Linked DNA regions of Caenorhabditis elegans. The protein of the gene in region 1 interacts with the protein of each later gene in a pairwise test. Each region holds a gene or a part of one and is shown on either strand. Other genes may lie near its edges.

Region 1 (8,516 bases):
AAAGAAAATGAGTTAGGGAAGCTTCTTGTCAAAATAATTGTCTCCAAATGTCAAATTTAAAATTCATTTTGATTGCTGTCACAGAACAATTAATAGTGTCATACTGTTTCTCAATTTTTCAAAAAATCTAATCGAATATGCCACGTCATTGTAGGTGGAGAGGCTCAAGCGCCGTTTATTTGCGAACCAAACCATCTGTTGATCCCTAATCCAGTTACCCTTTAGCTCTCTGACCATTACCCAACTTTTCTTGAGCAAAAGCACTTTGTCGGGAGAAAATGGAATGGAACTAAAAAAGCATACATTGATGATGAAGAAGAAGAAGCAATTCGATCCTGTCATCATGTTCGTTACCGTAAAACACAACTTTACGCAAAACGAAAAGCAAAAAGCAAACGGGCGGTCGAATAAAGGCGAAGAGAAAAAAAAAACGAAATGTCAATATTGTGATGATTTATGAGAGGAAAAGGAGGAGCAACTAAGAAATAGAAAAACCCGAAGAAAATGGATGATTACTCGTCTCGTCTTGCTCCTGTACATACCGTTGTCTTTAATTCTCTACCGTCTCTCTATAGAGACCAGAGAGGAAGCTTCTCCTTGTTCCGCAATCCTACTCCTCAAATTCTTATATTTGTTCTTTTTTACTAACCGACGACACCCCGCGACATACGTTTTTTTGCTCGTGCCTCGTGTATGTCATACATGGATTGGGACTCGATCAAGTTATTCAACTTGTACCATCCTTCTTTCACACAGTAACCTAGACACCTTTCTACAGTAACCCTAGATAACTCATAAATTTAAAAGTACTCCATTTATAACTGGAATATCTAGATTTTGTGCATCTGATTCTGGAAGGCATAATCAAAAATTAATCTCATACAAGTTCTAGAATTCAAAGATGTTAAAAAAATTAAAAGTATTTCATCTCTTTTTAATTGAAGTAATTTTTTCAAAATAAAAACATTTCGAAATTGGAATCTGATGAAATTTAACACAAAAATGCCTACCTACTTGCCTGCCCAGCAATCGCAACTTACCGTGAAACTTCTAGGAAGTTCTAAAAAATAAGTTTGTTGCTAATTTTTAATAGACCGTATTTGTTTTTCTTGCTCATATCACGATTCTTTGGTTTTATACAAATTGTTGGGGGTGAAATATTAATATGACTTAAAGAAGTACGATGTTTGCAGAAGGTAAATTTGTTTGGCCCCAAAGATTCCTTTCTATTTGTCTAACTTCACGGAAACCTAGTTTTATCATCAACTTCCCAATTTGAGTAGATTACTTGTATTCTCTCTATTCTAACATTTTCTTTTTCATTGCTCCTCTTCCATCACAATCTAGCTAAATCATAAAATTGCAACACAAACAGCCGCCCCATGGTTGAGGCCCGGGGAGGCTTCTCCTCATCATCATCGAGAGCCCCACACAGTAGTAATTCATTTATCTCTGCCTCTCTGCACCCTCTCACTTCTCGTTCTCACTATCTCAAATGGGCAATTTAAAAGTGGGCGGGGCTTTTGGGTCTCGGAACTGCCGGGGGCCCAAACTACTTGCATCTCTATCAGTTCTGAAACGGAGTGAAAAAGAAAAAGAACAAAATGGGCGGAGTCATGTATGAGGGAGAAGACGTGTCGGTCTCCCGTGGCGGTCGCCTTCTCTCTCTCTTTTGCAACAACTCATATTTTACCAGATCATATCTCGTCCCTCACACAGGCGCCCGGAGCGTCAGGTACAAGAATGAGTACCTGGCGCGAATCGAATCGAATATGTCTCCCCTCACCACCACCACCACGGGGGTGACAATTATCATCAAATTCGTCTCGAATCATCGACGACGTCTTCTGATGAAGAGAGAAAAAAAAAGACTTTTTCTGGGGTTGACTGTGTTCATTAATTCAATTAGTGTTTTATCAATCATTCAACAAATCATGCAAGTAATTCAGTTATTCATTCATTGATTTGCCATTTTTAGAAATTTCTGCTTTTTTAGTCAAGTTCTGAGGTTGAGACTTTCTTGAGAACTTTCAATAATGTAGTTCCATTTTCACATAAAACAATTTCAACCTGCCATGTTATTTTTAATATCTCAGCTAACACCTTTCAGAGCTCACTTACAGAAGCTTAACATCTGCAAGACGGAGCAACCATTTTTTCTGTAGTCTGGCGTCGAGCATGATTTTTAAAAATGATTTGTACTAGAAACTAATTGTGACGCCACAATTTGCGAGAAAGGGACACTGTCACTTTATAGCGATATATGTATCTATAACAAATTTCTGGGTTAGCTTTGCACTAAGGCTTGTATCTGAAAACGTCCGATCCTCATTTCCTATCTAAATTTAGAAATCAAACTTTACAACTCAACCTAAAATAATTCTAGTCTACAAGATCTGATGACTCATAATCCGAAAAGCCTGTAGAACACACACAAACAGAACTCAGACCCCACCAAATTTAACGGAATCTTCAACCGCATCTCGCACTTTATATTCATACCGATCCGATCTTTTTTCCATCCTTTTTTTCCAACTATTTCAATTGCAACACCGTATCCACCTCATGGAAAAGGGGAACCGCTCACTCACTCATTTTATACGATTTTCATCTTCTACACCCTCACTTACTCACATCATCACTCACTACCTTCCCCTGATCATTTTTTGAGATATTCTTTCTTTACCCAACCATGAACAACAAAATTTCATATTTACACTCGAAAAAAATCATCCGATTCAAGATTCTTCTGCGGCTATACTCGTCATTTGGCGCGAACTGATTGCCTATGGTTGATCCAAAAATTACTCTTTCAAAAACTGACAAAGCTCGGGGCAAACTTGAGAAAGTCCTGGTTTATGATGTACCCAAATTAAACTCACGTTTTATCTAGCTGTTGTGAAACTTGTATTGTATCGTTTTAAACTTGGCTGAGACGCTGAAAAGAGTTAGATCAATTTTGGGCTGAATCTGGGTGCGGCCTAAACCCAGTCATATAACCAAGTATTTCGTAACTTTTGCAAAGACAAATGGCGAGCCGGTGCATAATTCAAAAATGTTCATTCCAAAAATGCATTATGGGCAAATTTAGACTATAGGCTCGCCGCTCGATAACTAGCTCATTCGAGCAATATCATTTATGATTAATGACTCTATTTTAAAGTTCAATTTTTTATCGTCAATTGAATTCCATTCCCATTCCCTTACTGCCATCTCGTGTCTTCAATACTTTTACCATTTTACTCTAATAATATAAATTTTGATAATAGCCTTGTTTTCGCAATATGTGCCCCCTTGTCCCGTCGCCTTCTCATCTTTCTAATATAAATCGTTTTTGTTCTGTCTCTTTTCTCTGTGTGTGTTGTTTTGTATCCTTTTCTCTGCTTTTTTCCCTCTTCTTGTCCACTATTACTCTTTCATTCTTTGCCTATCATGCTCATCTTCTAGTAATTTCAACTTTTCAGAGCTCCAGATGAATGAGCTGCTCGCCGAGATGGCCGCGGTTTCATCCCGCAGAAAACAGTCAAAACCACGTCGAATGTCTGGTGGTAAGTTGAGGGAAATGAGAGGAAAATGCGGGGTGTTTAATGAAGTAAAAGACAAGAAAATGAAACAAGGCGATGATGATCGACCTTGAAATCTTGAAATTTTCTGCGAAAATAACAAAGTTGAATATTAAAACTTAAAACGCACTTTTGGAATGTTTCAAAATCATTTTAGTTCTACATTTTTGAAGGTTTTTAGACTTTCTAGAAAAACCAGTTATCACTAGTTTTTATGGGTTTTTGGGACATAAGTAATGAAAATTGGAAGGAGACAATAAATTGGTGTAAATTTACAATTTTAATGTCAATTCCTCTTATCAACTTATCAATATTATTCATATTACTTCGAATAGTTTCGGACGAGACATTTGCTAGAAAACCAGTATTAAAAAAAAATTAATATTACCAAAACCATCCTAGTTTGGCATTTTCATTTAAATATAATTTATCATATATTTCTCGTTCATTCATTTTTTTAAGTTTTAATGAGAAATCTGTCACATCTGTTCCACTTCAAGGAACACTTTTTCATTAAAATGTTTCCAACACAGAACCTTGTCAAATATGATAACATATCTCTTATCTCTATCTCTTTCGTATCTTCTTACCTCATTTTTAGTGTTTTTTCAATGCTTTTCCTTCGATTCTTTCAATCATAACCAATCAAAACCTACCGTAGTCCAAAGAGCTCCTCCCGAAGACCAGAGACACTTATTATATTTCCATTCATCTTTTCATATTGCTCCGCCCCTCCGTCACATTTCCATCCAATCATAAGCGACTATGAGGAGAAAGTGAGAGAGAAAAAAGAGCAAGAAAGCAGAGAAACGAGAGAGAGAGAGAGAAAATGTCCAAATATGGGAGTGCAAGGGGAAGGGAGAAAGAGTTTCGGAGAAAAAGAAAACCAATCAATTTGGCAAGTTCTGAGACAGACAGACATGAGAGAGAAAGGATGAGAGCATGTTGAAAAGGGGATGACAATTTGACAATTTGAACTTGGTGTCCAGCTCAAAGAGCAAGACTGAAATTTGTTTTGAAAGTTTTTAGTAGATAATGTTAACCAAAACGAGTTTCACAAATATTTCACCTGTGACAATAAAAGTTTAATTTTCCATTCAGTACTGTCAAACATTTCAACAGCTGTTGACAATTCGATGAATGTGAAGACCCAGTCTCTTAGAGCATGACTTTGTATGCAGAATATTTCTTGGTACTTTCTGCCTGTGTATGTGCATACAAATTTTACAGTCGTATATTTTCTATAAACATGTTGAAATTTAAGATTAACCTTTTTTTATTTAAAGATATATAGGCTTACTATTAGGCCGAGGTTGCCTTGCAGGCACGTATGCTCAAAAAAATTTTATATTCATCTTTGAGAAAAGAAGTGTATCATTTGTATCATAATTTCCGGTATCAGTTGTCTCTAAACCACCACCATCAGCTCTCGGCTTCATCTTCACAAATCATTTTTTGTGACGAACAAGTGCTCTTGTGTGTGAGACTTGAGACTTATTGTCATCTCATCTCTCTGCTGATTCTTCCATTGGCTGAGCCCATTATTATTTTTTTCTATTGAAAGCCTTATTGATTCTCTCTTTTTTGTGCTTCAAGTGGCAACATTATTGTGTTCGAGGTCCGCGAGCCGCCGCCTTCGACACGAGTCGAGTCGAGCCATCATAAAATCGAATTTATGATCGAACACAAAAGAAGTTTAGAGTGGCAGGATGAAGACGTTGTTGTTGCGAATCAGAATTCTTCTTCTGTGGGTCTTCTCCCCTCGAAACTCGATCATTTATTATAGTGTTTTTGTGTAATACGAGAGAAATAGTGTGCAATATCAGAGCTTCCTCCTTCAACAAGCAATATGAATTGGTTGGACGATGGAGACGAAAATTGAAACATTATGTGTGTGTGTCACAATGTGTGTGTGAGAGTGTGTATTTGAGGACCAGCAGAGTATCATCATCTCATATATTTTATGGATTTTTGATGGTAGCAGAGGTAGATGAGTTGAAAAAAAAGATATTTGGGGAGGAGGAGCGTTTGGATAACACTCATTAACATTGGAGGACTCTTTATGAGCGCGTGAGAAGAGAATGAATGAGACTATTATTGAATGGATGATATCAAACCAACTGACTCGCACACAGATAAGATGATAAAAATGAAGAGTTTTTGAGTTTTTGCTCATGAGTTGCAGTTACCAGAGTACTTTATTTTAAGGGGCTCAATTACGATATTTGCACAATCAAACAGTTCAAAACTGAAAATAGATAGCGTCATGTAATTCTCGCCTCGAACGAAAGTTTGGGTAGTTCCTTTGAATCCAGTACTATCTGATAATTGAAAGATTTCAGCTGCAAAAGGCAACTCGTCACCAAATTCTCAGCCAAATTTCGCCAACTTCGGCCACTTCCGTAAATGGCACCTAGAAAAACGCTAAAGTTGGTTAAGAAATATCGTTGATTTTCCGAGCAGTTTGACGAGATTTTTTGTTTTAACTTTCAGCTGAAATTTTTTTGAGAGCAGATTTTTCGAGTCTATTTACTACTACTTTGGAGGACCGTAATTTTGCTCTTAAATTGAATTCGGAAAAAATTATAATTGTAAAGGTCTCTAGGGGTATGCAAACATTTTGGAATATTTTTGGAAATTTTAATTTAAAAAAATTAAAGCCTAAAAATATCCAATTTTGAGCAGTCTTCCAGTTCTCAAAGAAATGAATCATTCACTTTAAAAATTTTCAAATTGAAATTTACTTTATACAGTTAATGTACAGCGACATTTTGTGTGGTTACCCAAAATTATATTAAAACAATTGAAGATATCTAGAAAGTTCAAAATTTGTTGCTTCCAGTGTTTTTTGAAGAAACAGGATTTACTTTGGATCTTTTGATCTAAATACTTGAAGTTGTCGTTTTGCTTCGATGTTTTAATTTGTTCGTTTGAAAACTTCAAATTATGTCTCTAATTGTACAATCATAGTCCCCTTTCTCAATCGGCCGTTATCATATTTACAGTATCCTCCATCTTTCCTCTGTAGACACATCGTGTCCCAATCGACTCGAATTAGTTGTAATATGCGGAAAAGTTAATCAAATCATGCCCTTTTTGTCAATAATCAATCGTTGACATCGTCTTAATTTTTCCGTTAAACCCACCTCCTTCTTCGTTTTTTGCTGCCTTTTTCGTAATGTTTATTAGAGCGTACTTAACCTTTTCACCCCCTCATTTTCATTCCTTTTCTCTAATTTTGGCTAATTCTCGCAATTATTTTTCAATTTTTTTGTTCAATTTGAAACTCTTAATGTTTTGTTGCGACCCGAAGACGTCGTTGTTGGGAGAAGGGGATGAAGTTTTATGTGTTTCCGACGCCTTCTTCTTCTTTTGATCATTTACCGTTTTTACAATTTTTTATGACATTTGGAAGGAAGGTTGTTGCTTTTTGGAGAAGTTTTATTTTACTATTAAATTGGTATATAGATGACTTTCTATTTAGGGACGATACTCTCTGTTTTATTGATAACTGAAGAATGTGGAACAGGAGGAGTAAGATTTATTTTTTGCCTAGAAGTTAGGGGGACTGTGAGGTGCAAAAAACTGAAATTGACCAACGTTCAATTCTGAAAATTCGGAAGTTGGAAATAATAGGGCTCAACATTTCAGCCGTTTGCTCATATGTCCAAATGGCAATAGACAGCTGAGCAGAAATATACTCGAAATGAAAAAAAACTAAAATAATTCAGAATTTTCAAAATTTTGCAAGATTAATAAAAAGAAACCTGAAATATAAAGTTTGTTCGAAGGCAAACTTTGTTTCAAAAATTAGGATAGGTGAACACGGAGCGACTCAAACTTTCGACTACAAGTATACATTTCAAAAACATTCTTGAAACGTCTCCCTTGAACACAATGATACCTAGATTTAGCCTGTAAAAATCTTTTACACTCCATTCTATTTTAGTTGGTAAAACTTTATGAACTTATCATGTTGCTCTTCCCAATATCTCCACATATTCATTTTTCTTCCAAACCAATCAATCATAATATATCCCCTCTCATAAGTCTCCACCCATCATCCAATCGGATGCCTCCTCCTCTCTCTCCGTTCATCTGTTCCATTAAGTCTCCGTTTCGAATACGGTAATATACCCTTCCGGATCATCAAATCGATTTCTATTTTCAACAACAAAAAAGCGTTTCGGAAATTATAAATGTTGCGAAAAAAGATTTCAATGAGAGGGGTGAGACAGGTTCCGAACCCATAAAGCCTCCTCCTCTTCCGTCCCTCCACGGGGTCTCCGCACACATTAATGGTTAAGAATCTCTTTCAATTCACACGCTATTTCATCCATACAGCTTCCTTCGATCTGACGCGACGACGATGACTTTTTGTGTGACAAAAAGTTAACGAGCAACCGATGTCAAACTGTGTATGTATGTGTTTGCGTCGGTTTGTTGCGATTTTTACGACCCCTTCTGTTTCTTGTGAAGAGAGATGAATCGGATCGCCGACGGCGGAGAAGACGTGCATAATTTTTGCGTTTTTTCCGCGCCATTGACACCGATTTGGTACACATTAAATTAAAGATAAATGAAGAGAGAGTGGGCGGAGCTTAGAGAGAGTTGGGTCCATTAAATCTTTAACTTGCAACAACAGAAATTACAAAAAAGTTAAAAAATAACAATACATATTTACAGAAGGTGATGCGATGATGTCTCCAATTGATTTATCGACAAAGAGTTTTGATGAAAATAACTGTGAGAAGGGAGCTGGTGGAGCACTTCCATTGGAGGATCGATCTAATATTTTACCTCATTTTTCTGTGCCATTTGCAAATCCACAGCAGGTAGGCAGTTAAGAGAGATGTTTTTGTAACTGAAAAGGCTAGCTTGTTAGGTGCAAAACTTTGTTTAAAAGAGGTTTAAAATCTGTTCAAACTATTCTCTAAGCATTTCATTTCAATT
Region 2 (7,638 bases), on another chromosome or scaffold:
GGACACCACACCGTGAACGGTAGTGGGGTGAATTGTGAATGAACACATCCAAAAACACAGTTTGCAACCATTCCGATGAATTTGGTTCCGTCGATGGGGTCATAAAAATTATAACCTCATAATTAGTATTATTTTAACAACCTCTGGATTAGGTAGAATAAGATAATCTAATGATTGTTTTACAATCACTTGATCTTCTTCCCATATTTTATGCCACAACGGAGACAATCATGATGTTCTGCGCACCGATCCGTGATCTGATGATGTGGCTCGTCAACCACCCCTAATGTATCATTGACTGCTGCTCTCAATAAAAAGATTACAAGGGAATTAGCTCAGGGGGCTGGTGGCAATTGATTCAATTTACACTCAGCACACACACACACACTGACAAATACACGTATACACCTGTCGTCTCCTTTGTCCGATGAGCTCCCGGATGAATAAAAAATGAAGATGATGCTAATTTGGGAGAAATGTGTATGATATGGGGGAAGGCAAAAGTTTGACACCTTTAATCGGGATCATTGAACAGTTGATCACACTTGCATATAGGACAAATTACAAAATTGTCTAGTTCTTGATTTTCAGATTTTCGAGTATTTTACCGTATTTCTTCTATTTTGCATCACGATTCTGTGTTTCGGCTGCTCACCAACTGGCAGAATATGTTTTTTACGTATCTGATGATTTCCAAAGGAACTAGGATAATACCTTTCAAGGTAAAGTAGTGGGATCCTAAATTGATCAGCGATAAAATTTTGAAATTTTTTTTTTTTTTTAATTTTTGAAAATTTTTTTTGGCTTTTTTAATTGAATTCTTGCGGAGTCACACATTTTTTTCTAACTCTGCAATTTTACTGTGATTTCAATCAATCATTCTGTCACTATCACACAAATTTTTCTAGATATAAATTCTCTGAAAAAGAACAATGGCTAGAAGTGATGCACACTTTCAAAACCGCATTTTAATTTCAAAGCGGATTTTTCCTAGGAAGACACCGTATGCTTGGAATAAGTTATAGTGGAAAGACGCCGGGTAAAGTTCTCGGGACAAGTTGCGGTATTTATGAGAGGAAATTGGAAACTAATTAGGACAGAGATGAGTAGTTTCAGATGAATAGCTGATTTTATTGCCATTTCTATAGTTTATTTCTTTTTTAGATGAACTTTTTCCCCGATGAATTCTTCCCAATTTCCATTCAATAACATTACATGAGTTTACGAGTTCATGTCAAATGGTGAATAAGTTGAGTTACATGAGTTTACAGGAAATGTTTGACATTCCAATACGAAGACCAGTTCAATAAATCATTCTCGCAACGACCCCTGAAACGATGACATGATTGAACAATAATTCGTTAACAAGTCGACTCAATTGCAATAATACACGGCTGCGGTCTCCTTCGACAATTGTCATCTTGCTAAACAATTGAACAAGACGAATGAAAAGAAGGTTGAGGTTTTGACAAACTGTACAGGACGCGTCTCTAACCTCCTTTCTCAAATTGGGTGGCATCATTGTTCGAAAAAGGTGTCGCTATAATTGACGAATTATTCGACTCCTAGGCAGACGATCTTCAACTGTAAAGGTGTTACGGAAAATCTACTCAGCTATGAAAGTTGGAAGGCCTCCACTTTGACGAGTAACGTAGAGTGTTTGAGGTGGAGAGGAAGCGGGACGACTTTTTGCTTCCCCCCAAAATTGTCTATTAATGAGAAGGCTAATTGACGCACTTGGTGTGAGGAAATCGCTACCGTAATTTTGTCATTTGGAATGATTCGCAATGTTCTGTTACTTGAGCGAAAACACTCCAGCGTCCGTTGACTGTATTGCATTTTATTATTTTATAATAACCAAGACATTGAAAGTGAAACATTACAGAAGAAATTAAGAGATCGGATTTTGAGAATGAGGGCAAAATTAAAGTGGCTCAGCAGGAAAAATAGAAGAGAAAAACAATAGAAATTGAGAATTTGACATTTTGCGTGATGAAAACCGGATAAATACTCTAAGCGAAAAAAAAACAATCTTCAAGGTGGAAAGGTATTATTCATCCTCATCTGATTCTTTTTTAGAAACAGATGCATTTTTTACAGAATCAGGAGATACTGATGGTGATTCTTTTGGGGAACTGATATCATCTTTTACGTTTTGCGATGCTAGAAATTGCAGTAGAGAATTTTGAGAGTTGCTAGCAGGAATCATTGAAGAAGTTGGGACGACTAATGAATTGAATACAGGGCGATTATTAGAAGCTCCAAACATTGAAGTGTTCTGTGATAAGTAGTTTGCCCAATATGGATTTGTTCTTAGAAGTTGTTGAACGGCGGCCATATTTCCAGCATCGTGAAGAAGATCCATACCAACAGAGGCTTGTCGTTTCCATTTGGTTCTGAAAGTACCGTGAACATTTTTTTTCATTTCAAGCACTTTTTTTCTCAAATTTTTTGCGCCTCCCAGGGTAGCAGCTCCAATCTCAAAAATTGGATAATGACAGTGGAGCCGTTTCCCGTGGGGTGGTTGAAAGGAGTGGGGGAGGGCGCGGAAAAAAGATGACACTACTAAATAAAATTGGTGGGCGCACGCAAAGAAATTGAGGAGGGGTGAGAGCTTTGATTAAGATAAATTTCGATGGGGGTGAAGCTTCTCGCTAATGCACTACAATTAACACAAAGTGGCGTGTTTAGACTCAATTCTCGCCCAACTGCTGGCGCAAAGAGCCACACGTTGTTGTTTTTCGAGAAAAGAAAAAAAGTTTGCCTAATTAAGGAATATAGCCGACCAACCTTCTATTTTGATACCATGTCTTTACTTGAGTATCTGTTAGCCCCATTCGATGAGCCAGCTCCATCCTATCTTGAACAGACAAGTACTTCTGCTTCTCAAAGGTGTTTTCTAGCTCTTGAAGTTGTTTGTCGGTGAAGATAGTTCTCGCCTTCCGAGCCTTTTTTGATCCCACGCATGTCGGACTCTCGTTCACAGATCTTTCGGTATTCGGGCTCCCAATTCTAGGGGATGATGGCGATTCCGAGGAATTAATGGAGGTAGGAGATGGATCTACAATAACAAATAAATAAAGAAAACTGTTTGTATAGGTAAGAGGAGAACAAAGGATCATAATTGGTTGACCTATTACTATTACAGATTACCGTCCATGTGACTACTGGAGCGTTAATCCGTTAAATATCATTTTTCAGGTTAGTTGTACATTCAACATTCTCATGGAAGTCTATGTAGATTAAAGTGTTAGAGATGGTTGAACGAACATACAATAAATGCAATAACTTTAGGAAAATGGTGGCAAAATGGATTACCTGGTTCGTTGGTTGAGTGTGAAGTTGGATCAAGCAGATCAGAAATGCGAAAAGAGCTGTTTAAGTTTATCTTCGCGCCACCGGAAGAACTCTGAGCAGCAAGTTGGTTGGTGGGGTCTAGAAAGAATGCAGGAATCAGAAACTGACGGAGATCCAACATTGACATTGTTATGATAACCTTATCAGATGATGTAACAATACAATAAGTTTTGTAATAGTCAAATTGAATGACTTTTAGACAGTAGTTTAGTGTGAATGAGTGGGTTGGAAGGGTCCTGTTGCCTGCAGTCACTAAACGTCGCAAACTCGTTGATTGGTCTAGTCACGCCCATGCGAAGTGGAAGGCGGGGCGTGTCGAAGAAGGGAATAGAATGGATGACACCACGCGGTTTTGTATTGAGAAGTGTGGTCCGTGCAATCCACCTTTTTGAAGCCAATCAAGTGTGATAATGGGGGACGATGAAGCTGAAAACGAGCAGCTTCGAGGAAAAGACGAAAAGCAAAAGTTTCGGAAATGAGGCATTCAGGTGAGAAGAAAACAATTCAGACAAATCCCGAAACTGCCGAATGCAAACTATGCACACTAGGCTTTTCCTAAAAGCAGAGTAACAACGCAATGCAACATGATCCAAACGAGCAATGATTTTCAGATAAAAAAGCACTGAATAGAATTCAATATAACTAGCTATGCTAGTGTAAAACCGCAGAAAAAATCAAAAATAGCATGCTGCTTCGGCGTGCAAAAACTAGCGACTAAAGCTAAAAATGAGTTTCAGCCCGAATGATGTTTCAGCTTTCTGACTAAAAGATGATGAGGTCTAATAGGTACATTGTGTGTGTTTTAATATTTGATACATCACTGATTTGAAATCAGCACAATGGAAAACACTATCTGAAAAGTTCAGTAACAGTGACTACTTTTGATAGTTCATTTTGCATTTAGATTTTCCTGGCTGTGATCTTAAACTTGCTTCACACGTACAGTTCAGATTAACTGGTAACATCTTTTGGTACTTGTGTAGTATACCTAACACAAAAACATTTTCCAGTACATTTTCCATGCATTTCTTTTGAAACATAATAATTTATTCAAACCATGAAATAGATTTGCATTTTTAGACTTTGAAATACTTTAACCTTAAGCCTATTATCGGCAAAAAGGGGTTTAATATTTTTGGACCAGGTGTACTAAACTGGTACCTAATTTTTTTAATCCCAGATCCGCAAAAATCAGATTCTCAAAACACTAAAAATTATAATAAAATGCTAAGTAAGTAAATTTTTTATTTATTTTGAGCTTTATAGGAACTAAAAAAATGTAAACGTTTTCCGAGCTTTTAATTTCTTGAGCATTTATACTTAATTAGAGTTTAAATTTGTATTTTTCGGTAGCCGAGTTTGCAATAGTCTGGGTTCCTCTTTTATAGACTATTATGAGCAAAAAAACTTTGTTTTACATATTGAAATATTTTAAAAATTATAAACTAATATTTATAGTTGTAAAAAATTTTCAGACCCTTTATGTTTGCTTGAAAATTTGTTCAAAAAGTTTTCAATAAAATATCATGTTGAAACATCGTTATCATTCTGAAAAATATATTTGCAAAGTGAACAATGTCAACAATCGTTATATTTTTCACAACCGATTCATGAACAACGCGAATCTATTGTTTGTTATCAACGTCTAACAACTTACTAATACTTAATTTCCTGCCGTATTACCTCTCTAGTTTTCCGGCTGTTTATGTTTGGCGGCCACCTCCGTAAAACGTTAACTTAAACGTACAAATCTAATTTTATGCTGTCCCATCGTTTTCCCTCTTTCCCACTAACTAATAAGCAATATTTCCGGTCACAAACGGTCGATGAGCAACAATAATATCTGCATTCTCTTTGACGGACAGCTGTAGGCCCATTACCGGGGTTTTATGAGGAAAAGAGGAACCGCTATATGGTGAACTGTTATTAAGGGTACCGAACACAGTCATCTGGAAAATTTACTAATCGAATACACTACGGGTTTTCATTTTTGTGTTGGAATGACTAATGGGTCAAAAAAAATTATCAAAAATGTAAACTACAGAGCTTTTTTTCAATTCTAAAAAAATGTATTGTAACAACAACTCAAGATAAGAGTGAGTTCCAGTAGTAAAATCATCAATTGAACATGTTCCTGAATTTTGACTTCATGTCGGAAGACTTTTAAATTGAAGTGCGCGAAATTGGTAGGAGTCTGCGCTTGTTTGCCGCCCGCTCACCAAAATACAAGGACAACCCATATACCGGGAGGAATTTGTCGCCTCGCCCGGATATTCGACAGACGTGACAAACGACTGCTTTTCAAACTGCCAATTTCGATGTCACACCTGCAGTTTTATAATTCCTTCGGGTGGTCTCTAATCTTGTGCAGCGCCTAATAAGAACATTTTCTTTAACAAGAAATTAAATCGTTTTGAATGGAGTTATACTTGCTCTGTTAACAGGAAATTTTCAGTTCGGCATTATTTCAGTGATATAATAAATCCACAGAAAACAACGTTTAGAAAGGTTGAATATGAGTAGCCTGATCATGATTTCAGGTGCCCGTTTCAATTTCAAAAATATTTCTGTTTTCAACTACTGTTTAATGGTCATCTTTTAATAAGATTTTTCAAAATTTTTTCAATATTTCAAATCTTCGGCAACTCGACAGCTGTTAAAAAAATGAGTAAACTCTGATTTTTACAGAAGTACATGTTTTTGGCAATGAAACACAATTTTCAAAAAAATCTCCCAACATATTACATCTGAATATTTTTAACTGTCACTCTGAAAATTGGAAATTTTATCAATAACCAGCCGATAACCGCGCCTCCGGCGCGGCCAACGACTGGCGGAGTTTAAAATGTATAACAAATAGATGTCCTTTTAATCATTCAAAAATGCCTCATTAAAAAAAGTTGAAACTTCATCGATTAAATCGCATTTTCTCCTTCCATGGTATACGATTCAGAAAATTCAAAGAGACAGTTAGAATGTTCTGATTTTTCTACTAACACATTATCATTATCAGGCTTTCGAAAAAATTCCACAGAGTTACAGTTTTTTTAATAAGTTAATAACTTTCCTTAACTGGAGAAGTCTGAATAATTAACTACTAAGTTCTTTGAATATAGATGTAACGAAACAAATAAAAACTCCTACAGTTATAGGAGGTTGTAGAGCATTTCAGAACTTTTTTGAATTTTCCAGATGATTCTAGAACAGTCTAGAATTTTCTTGAAACTTCCAGAAGGTGCTGAAACAAAAAATTTGATTCCAGAACAAAAATTTGGATTTCCCGCCAAATGTTTTCCTCAGAAAATTTGAATTTCCCGCCAAAATCTTTTTTCTCAGAAAATCTGAATTTCCCGCAAAAATTTTTTTTCCTAGAAAATTTGAATTCCCGCCAAAATTTTTCTCAGAAAATTTGAATTCCCGCCAAAATTTTTCAAAGAAAATTTGAATTACCGCCAAAATTTCTTTTCTCATAAATTTTGAAGTTCCCGCCCATATTTTTAAGGGTCTCACCACGATGGGTCTCGCCAGTTCCAGGTGGTACTTAAGCTAACAAAAAGTTTCTCAGAAAATTTGAATTTCCAGTCAAAAATTTTTTTCTCAGAAAATTTGAATTTCCCGGCAAAATGTTTTTCACTGAAAATTTGAAATTCCCGCCAAAATGTTTTTCACTGAAAATTTGAATTTCCCGCCAAAATTTTTTTCACTGAAAATTTGAAATTCCCGCCAAAAATTTTTTCACTGAAAATTTGAATTTCCCGCCAAAAATTTTTTCACTGAAAATTTGAATTTCCCGCCAAAATTTTTCTCACAGAAAATTCGAATTTCCCGCCAAAATGTTTTTCACTGAAAATTTGAATTTCCAGTCAAAAATTTTTTTCTCAGAAAATTTGAATTTCCCGGCAAAATGTTTTTCACTGAAAATTTGAATTTCCAGTCAAAAATTTTTTTCTCAGAAAATTTGAATTTCCCGGCAAAATTTTTTTCACTGAAATTTGAATTTCCCGCCAAAATTTTTCACTGAAAATTTGAATTTCCCGCCAAAATGTTTTTCACTGAAAATTTGAATTTCCCCCCAAAATTTTTCTCACAGAAAATTTGTTTTTCACTGAAAATTTGAATTTCCAGTCAAAAATTTTTTTCTCAGAAAATTTGAATTTCCCGGCAAAATGTTTTTCACTGAAAATTTGAATTTCCAGTCAAAAATTTTTTTCTCAGAAAATTTGAATTTCCCGGCAAAATTTTTTTCACTGAAATTTGAATTTCCCGCCAAAATTTTTCACT
Region 3 (7,320 bases), 6.2 Mb from region 1:
GTGGTGGAATTTTTGTGGTGGAATTTTTTCTGTACGGAGGGGGATAAGAGTTCACGTTTGTTTAGTTGAAAATAAAAATAAATATATAAACTATTTTATTAAATGATTTTTAGTTGTGTTTCCAGTAAGCTTCAATTGAAAACGTTTCAACACTACCCTCATCCTTTATATCGGTTTCTAAAATGTTAACATCTTTGTGAAGTAAAAAACTGGAATAGATTTTGAACTAAATTTTGACATGAATTGAAAATACTTACGTTCATATTCAAACTTTCAATTTCTTTTTCCGATTCAACATATCCGTTCAACGGATAATAGGTGCAACTTATCTGAAAAGTAATATTAGAAATTTTTATAAATCTGTTTATCAGACGTTGTGGCCTGTTGAATAACAAGCTTCAGGAAATGCTTCAACGGCAAAAGTATCAAGTGGTTCTGTTCCGGTAATTTTGAAACATTATTTTTTCAACTCTCTTTCCATCATTCTTCACATTGAACGACCAACGCATCTAAAACTCATTAATAAACTTTGTTGATATAATTGAAAACTTACTTGTGCATATTCGAGATAATTCTTGCGATGTAAGTATGCTTCGTTATGTTCTCTGTCTGACTCGCTCTATATTAGAAGCAACAATTGGCCTAACTGGGGTTCCATCGACGTTATCATAAGAATAGGTGTCCTTGATTATGTCATAAGTGAATTTTATGTAGTCTTGTCCTGATTTCGGAATCAATTGGACCATCTTCTCCTGTGTTTTGAAGGATGTACGATGGACAACTGAAACTGGAAATACTTTAGTATACAGTTTATTTGGGCTATATGAATACTTTATGAATAGACTTTATGAATAGAATTTGAAATTTGCCGTTGCACGGCAAACGGCAAAATTTCCAAATTCAACAAATTTGCCGCACACGAAAAAATACGACAACTATCATATCATTTTCTGAAAAATACATATAACACTCACGAGTTGTATTATTTTCTGCTGTAGTGGTTTCAGATGTTTGATTTTTAGGAGAACCTGAAACATCCATTTCTTAATTATTTAACATATATCGCTTTTCTCACTTTCCTCATTATTCTTACCAACAACTTCGGACAAGCCAAAAACAATTGGCGTTGTTATGAACAAGATTCCAATGAATACTGTAGCTCTTTTAGCGATTGTCTTAGAAGAATTACTTGCTTGGGATCTTAAAAAATATTCAGAGTTTTCGCAAATTTTTATGTATATATTTTTTTGTGAAAAACTGAACGATAAACGTTTTACTTCCTTTAATAAATTTTTTGAATATAAAATGGCCAAAATTAATCTTTTATTTGGAAAATCTTGGGCTCACTAGCAGTGCAAAAAAAGAAACTTACTTGTTAGAACTGCCTAACAACAGTGATTCGTTTTGTGAATAAATAGGATCTTCCGAAGACATTTTCTTATATTTTAACAAAAGATAAACTTATCAAAAAGGGTTGAAAAATGAATATAGTTCGTTTTGAAAGAATTGGGTTCGGCAGCAGGCTTGCTTCGTAGACATGCAACAAGGAAGTATTCGTGAAAATCTAAGAAGTTGAAAAAGTTGTAATCTTTAAAAAACGTAACTGTGATCTTTATTGCCTCTCGTCTCGTAAATCACGGAATTGAAGAGATGTGCATGGCAGTAGAGCATGTCGGTGGTAACGATACAGGTGAAAAGTAGGCCAAATTTGTATTTATCAGTTTACCGAAAGATTTTTAATCAAAAGATTTCTAGATTTTTAATATCGGAGTTTTCTCCGTTATATATTCAATCGTTCTTGCTTTACGCTTATTGGAAGTGCGATATAATTATAATTATTTTATTTCATTTTGAAGATGTTGAAGAAAAGAAGCAAAGCGATGCAAACGGCGCGTTTGCAAAATGTCTTATTTTAATATACATGCATACAAAGAAAGCACATTATCATTTCATAATTAGAGCTCTGATCGCAGAAAACAAGCGAGAAGTGCATTGCGAGATTTCCAGTTTTTCCACATCAGTTATTATTTTCGAACTCCACGAAATCCTGAAAATAGAGTAATAGTTAAATTAAATTTTGGATAAGAAGCACAAAAACTCACAATCAAAAATGTGGCTCCCAGCAGTATCGCTTTGAGCTTGACATCAAGGTCGATGGGAACTGAAATTCTTTCAACTATTCTTTCACTTTCAAGACTAACTCACAGGTGACTGCAAAAGTGTCGGCATCGGTAAACGCTTCACGCAATAGTCCACCCCACTTCTTGGTTATTGAGCCAATTGGCACGGAGCTGTCGGGAGTTTTGATCTGAAAAGTATGGAGTATTTTAAATTCGGCAAAGTCTTGTCACCGTAAAATCCTTATCTTCACAGCAGCAACTTGTGCAACATCCTTGACCATCAACTAGGAAAATCAGATTTCCATCTTTATCCAAAATGTTATAGAATGAATTCGTGCAACCATATCCTTGAAGGACAGTACCCAGAAGGCCAGTTGATAGTGATTCAATGGTGCATATGTTTTGAAGACCTAGCAAGCATCCACAAAATGAGTCTGCGCAGCATCTTAATTCTCGTTTGACGATGAGCACATTCTTAACAAAACAAATGTTTTAAAAACTTAATTTAAAAGAATTTTCAAGAAACTTTAGGAATGTTTTCCTATTATTACACATCCCATGAAATAATCAGGAGTTAAAAAGTGATAAGAACTCAAGCTTCATGGCTTAGAAATCTGCATCTCTAGGCCATAACTCACCTTGTTAAAATTATCCACAATGTGCATCGTAAAACCTCGTTGCGATCCACAACACTGTCTCTCCCAAGCGTTGGATTCTTCGAACGCATAGTAACACTGCTGTCCATTTTTATTTCTAATAGCATACTTATTTTTACTCTCCCATCCAGTAAGAATCTCAAGAACCTCCTTCACTTGATGCACCATGACCGTGTCCAAGTAGGCAAGGTATTCCAACCCTGCTGGGATTCCCTCAATCGCTGGAAGTGCTTCCATCCAAATTGCTCCGGGAGCTGCTTGTATAGAAGCTCCTGGTTCAGTTGTTATGGCTCGGTCTTCAATTTCAACGTAATCAGGTGGTCCATTATAAAATAGTTGATCCATTATTTCGAATCTGAAACTTATAAAAAACGGGTTGCTGATTGTTTGAAATTGCGCTTAACTAAGCAAAGATTGGTCCGAATTCTTAAATTTCATTTTGTTACAAAATTGGTGCTCAAAAATAGAAAAAATAGATAAAAGAGTTTACTGACTACTCAATAATTTTACTCGGCTCATCGAGCTCTAAAACTGATAAAAATAGAGGTAAAAAAAATTTCGTCGAAATAAACACTTAAAAACGCATATTGATATTTTATAACTCATAAATCCGTGGGGTTTTCTTCAAACACTACAGAAATTACAGTAAAAACTATTGCTTTAGATCGAAAAAAATTGCTGAACAGTTGAAACCGGAAAACTGGTCAAAAGTAGGAAACATTCGTTGTTTTTATTGATGCTCAAAAAACATGAAACAGAGAAAAAGCGGGTTCAGAAAGTGGGACCAGCGAATGTGTTCGGAAAGTGAGAGGCGCATAGACGAAGAGGGAAGCTAGACACACATACTTTGAAAACAGCACAAGGTTCAGGGTACTCGTGTACTAAAAATTGAGAGAATTTTTTCAATTTATAACATTTTCATACGAGAATTCATTTGCAATTACCTAGAAGCTACCAGGGGTCACCACATTTCTCTTGGGAATTATCGAAAATTTATTCCTGAGTCATCAACTAACATTCCATTTAATTCCCTCATAAACTTTATTCATTTTCAGTCAAAATGTAAGTCAGCAGTTCTCTTCGTCTTAACATATCCTCCATGTCTTGGCTTATGATCCACATCATCATCGAGCCTCTCCTCGAACTCTGAAACTTCTACAGGAGCGACATGGGTAGCTGCAACCGGTTGCTTCACACTCTCCAATTCGGATTTAGTTTCGTTAGTGGAAACAGAAGCGGGGGTGTACTTGGATGGTTTGATCTGCAATTTAAAAATTGGAAAAAAAATCAATAACTGTTTTTGTAACTCACATTTTTCCACTCCTTATCAAACTCATCACTTTCCACAGAAACCGATGGTTTAGCTCTACGAGAACTGTGCTCCGTCTCGTGTCCTTTCTCCAAAAGTGCCAACATAGCTTCACGTTCCTCTTCAGCTTTACTGATCATCTTGTGTTTTCGTTGCTTGGCACACACGTACATCCAAATAAGACACAGGGCAATACAGAAGCACCAAATGAGAAGGACAAGGAGTAGGATGTAGATAAGGATGTTCGCATCGATTCCTGTAAGAAAATTGGTAACGGTATAGCTGGCAACAGTGCTGACGAGTTAACTTATAGTTAGTGTAGATACTTTCTCCAGAATGTTGTCAGCTTTCTGGCGCAGTATTTTAGATAGGTATGTGCTAGGGCTTCCATGAAGTCGCCGCAACGGCGCATCCGCTGGCCTCAGCGGTCACCGCGCCGGCCTCACGGCGTCACTCAAGCCGCATGTATCCGAATGTATAGTGAACCCCGACAGTGTCGGCTGCTTCAAATAACTGCCTTTTTGCATTTGAATATATTTTGAATACACATTCGAATACACAGCGGTATCAGCGTGAGGCCCGCATTTCGCGCCTCACTCAGCTGGGATTCCTAGTCTGTCCAATCATTCTTTGGTCGCAGGCGGCGCAAACCCACTAGGCCTTTATCAATTAATCTCAAATTACCAAATTTCAAACGCGCACTACGTGAAAGCTGGTGGAGTTTGCCGAGCAGGTCGCAATTAGGTCTGATCTGCTCAGTGTGCCTTAGATCGACGAGGCGTGATCGCCTACTCCTCGTGCCAAATTCTAACCTTCCTGGGCATCCGGATCACTGGGAACATATACAGTAGTTCCATTATCCACTTTCCTCTTCCCTGACATCATTTCAAGTTTTTCGGCGTCTTCTTCCGTATCCGCATCGTATTCTTCAGTGGTTGTTGTGGGACGAGCTGTCGAAGAACGAGACGGGATCTTCGATGGTTTGGGAATCGGAACAATCTTTTTGAATTGCTTTCTAGTAGTCTTCACTTCTGTTGTGCTCGAGAGGATTGTATGAGTTGTCGGAGCAATTGTAGACGTCGAATTAGTAGCATTTGATGGAGGAATCACCACTTCCTCATCCGCACTACCATCGAACGTCAACATTTCTCCCTCATCGTCTATCGATGCTGCTCTTTTTGCTGTTGGGGGCATGGTTGACGTCACCGGAGCAAGTGTAGTTGTCAGAATTTCTTCCCAGTCGTGAACACTATTGCCAAGAAGGATATCTCGAATCCTGAATAAAAATTTTTATAATTTTCAAAGGTGAACAGGATCAGGACATACATGCTCGCATAACTCTGAACCAAATGAGCACTTTCATGGACCTCGTTGATTTTGTCGGAACCTACAAGGGAGACTCCTGAAAAAAGACATTTTTTAAAAGGCAGATGGCTTCAAATTACTAACTGCTTGTGTTAATTGCTTTCACCAAATCCGGAATCACCATTCTGATCGATTGATTATTTGAATTGGTTAGATTTGAATTAACAAGAATTCCATTGTAGAAGAAGCTCTTTTTCCGCGAATTCCCGTTGAACTGACTTTGAAAAGCTTTCAAAAAACACGTGGCGTCACCGAAAACGGACACAATGAACTGCACATTTTCGTGATTCAAATATTCCGACGGCGTTTTTGCAATCGCTTGGCGAAAGCTATCACAAGGATTTGAGGATGGCTTCGAGGATTCCTTTACCGGAAGATACAAACTGGAAGGTAGCTGACTACTTTTCACGGCTTCACCAAAGTATTGCTGGAATATTGAGCAGGTTGATTAGGTTAAAAACTGATAAATCTTACATTATCCCCAGAATAAGATACGATCATGTTCTTAATCTTCTCATTGCTTGGAATCTCGCAGGAAATTGCTTTGAGAAGATATGTCAGACGAGAGAGCTGAAAAAAACTAGATTTCTCACTAAAACCAGTAAGAGTATTACTCACCAAATCCGGTTCAATAGCCTTATCAAGAAAGTACAAAAAATGTGCACCGGTTGCATTTCCAATCTGATTCGTTGGTTGGCACACTGGATTTTCGGGTATTTGAGCAGAAATGATGGTAGTTGTTGATAAAACGAGAAGACAAGTGATAAGTGCGTGTTTGAAATGCATCATCTTGTTCTTCTTCAATCACTTTAACTCGTCGCTTTCGAAGATATCGTTTACTCCAAATCGAGCGATTTGATGAGCATAGAAAAACGAGCAATGATCAGAATTTTGATGCTCACGTGGAATGGTGAGGAATTTGGAAAAATCGATAAAAAAAAGGGGGGGGGGGGTCGGCTCACGTATTTCATTATTCAAAAAATAATTAAAATTTGCTGACGTCTACATATATGCTAAAGTAAATATTTTAAAAAATCATAAAAAAAACAGATACAGCAGAGAAATCTCTGCTGCTGAGTTCCGTCCAATTTTCGGCAATTTCGGCTATTGCCGGAATTTTCGATTGCCGAAAAGTTGAAAAAAAAACTATAAAAATGCCCATTTTAAAATCTTTCGGGACATTTTTTCCCCAAATTCCCCAAAACTGTTAGGATATTTCTGTTTATTTTCCAAGTCTAATGTTATTATTCCTTGAAGTTTTTATTTCAAATTTTTTAATTAAAAACCAGCCGCTGACCGCTCCTACGGCGCGGGCAACGACTGGCACCATTAAAAGTATTTGGCACACATACACTTCCAGAATTTTCTCGATTTTTCTAGAAAGTTCTGGAACATTCCAGAATTTTCTCGATTTTTCTAGAAAGTTCTGGAACATTTCAGAATTTTCTCGATTTTTCTAGAAGGTTCTGGAACATTCCAGAATTTTCTCGATTTTTCTAGAAAGTTCTGGAACATTCCAGAATTTTCTCGATTTTTCTAGAAAGTTCTGGAACATTTCAGAATTTTCTCAATTTTTCTAGAAAGTTCTGGAACATTTCAGAATTTGGCACACATACACTTCCAGAATTTTCTCGATTTTTCTAGAAAGTTCTGGAACATTCCAGAATTTTCTCGATTTTTCTAGAAAGTTCTGGAACATTTCAGAATTTTCTCAATTTTTCTAGAAAGTTCTGGAACATTTCAGAATTTGGCACACATACACTTCCAGAATTTTCTCTATTTTTCTAGAAAGTTCTGGAACATTCCAGAATTTTCTCGATTTTTCTAGAAAGTTCTGGAACATTTCAGAATTTTCTCAATTTTTCTAGAA

Evidence for each region. Proteins that work in one complex are often made in the same cells at the same time.
Region 2: the proteins of sem-4 (region 1) and ceh-31 interact in a two-hybrid assay, tested with the Caenorhabditis elegans proteins (one large-scale study listed by BioGRID).
Region 3: the proteins of sem-4 (region 1) and scrm-2 interact in a two-hybrid assay, tested with the Caenorhabditis elegans proteins (one large-scale study listed by BioGRID).

What each region holds. Positions count from the first base shown.
Region 1 is NC_003279.8:7,035,436-7,043,951, forward strand, and holds the start of sem-4 (Spalt-like protein sem-4), read left to right. Parts: upstream 1-3,464; 5' UTR 3,465-3,472; coding exon 3,473-3,548; intron 3,549-5,205; exon of another isoform or gene 5,206-5,276; intron 5,277-8,249; coding exon 8,250-8,398; intron 8,399-8,516. UniProt on the Caenorhabditis elegans protein: Transcription factor, involved in positive and negative modulation of transcription. Binds to multiple DNA sequence motifs in the regulatory elements of target genes, including homeobox selector egl-5 and LIM homeobox mec-3.
Region 2 is NC_003284.9:3,066,824-3,074,461, forward strand, and holds ceh-31 (Homeobox protein ceh-31), read right to left. Parts: upstream 3,600-7,638; 5' UTR 3,485-3,599; coding exon 3,319-3,484; intron 3,062-3,318; coding exon 2,791-3,061; intron 2,734-2,790; exon of another isoform or gene 2,451-2,733; intron 2,397-2,450; coding exon 2,051-2,396; 3' UTR 1,825-2,050; downstream 1-1,824.
Region 3 is NC_003279.8:13,231,168-13,238,487, reverse strand, and holds scrm-2 (Phospholipid scramblase), read right to left. Parts: upstream 3,141-7,320; 5' UTR 3,122-3,140; coding exon 2,759-3,121; intron 2,595-2,758; coding exon 2,352-2,594; intron 2,309-2,351; coding exon 2,206-2,308; intron 2,162-2,205; coding exon 2,103-2,161; intron 2,048-2,102; coding exon 2,018-2,047; 3' UTR 1,825-2,017; downstream 1-1,824. Other genes in the region: ZK1053.2 (uncharacterized protein), read right to left, coding at 3,828-4,037, 4,088-4,341, 4,898-5,361, 5,412-5,487, 5,535-5,877, 5,925-6,020, 6,069-6,236.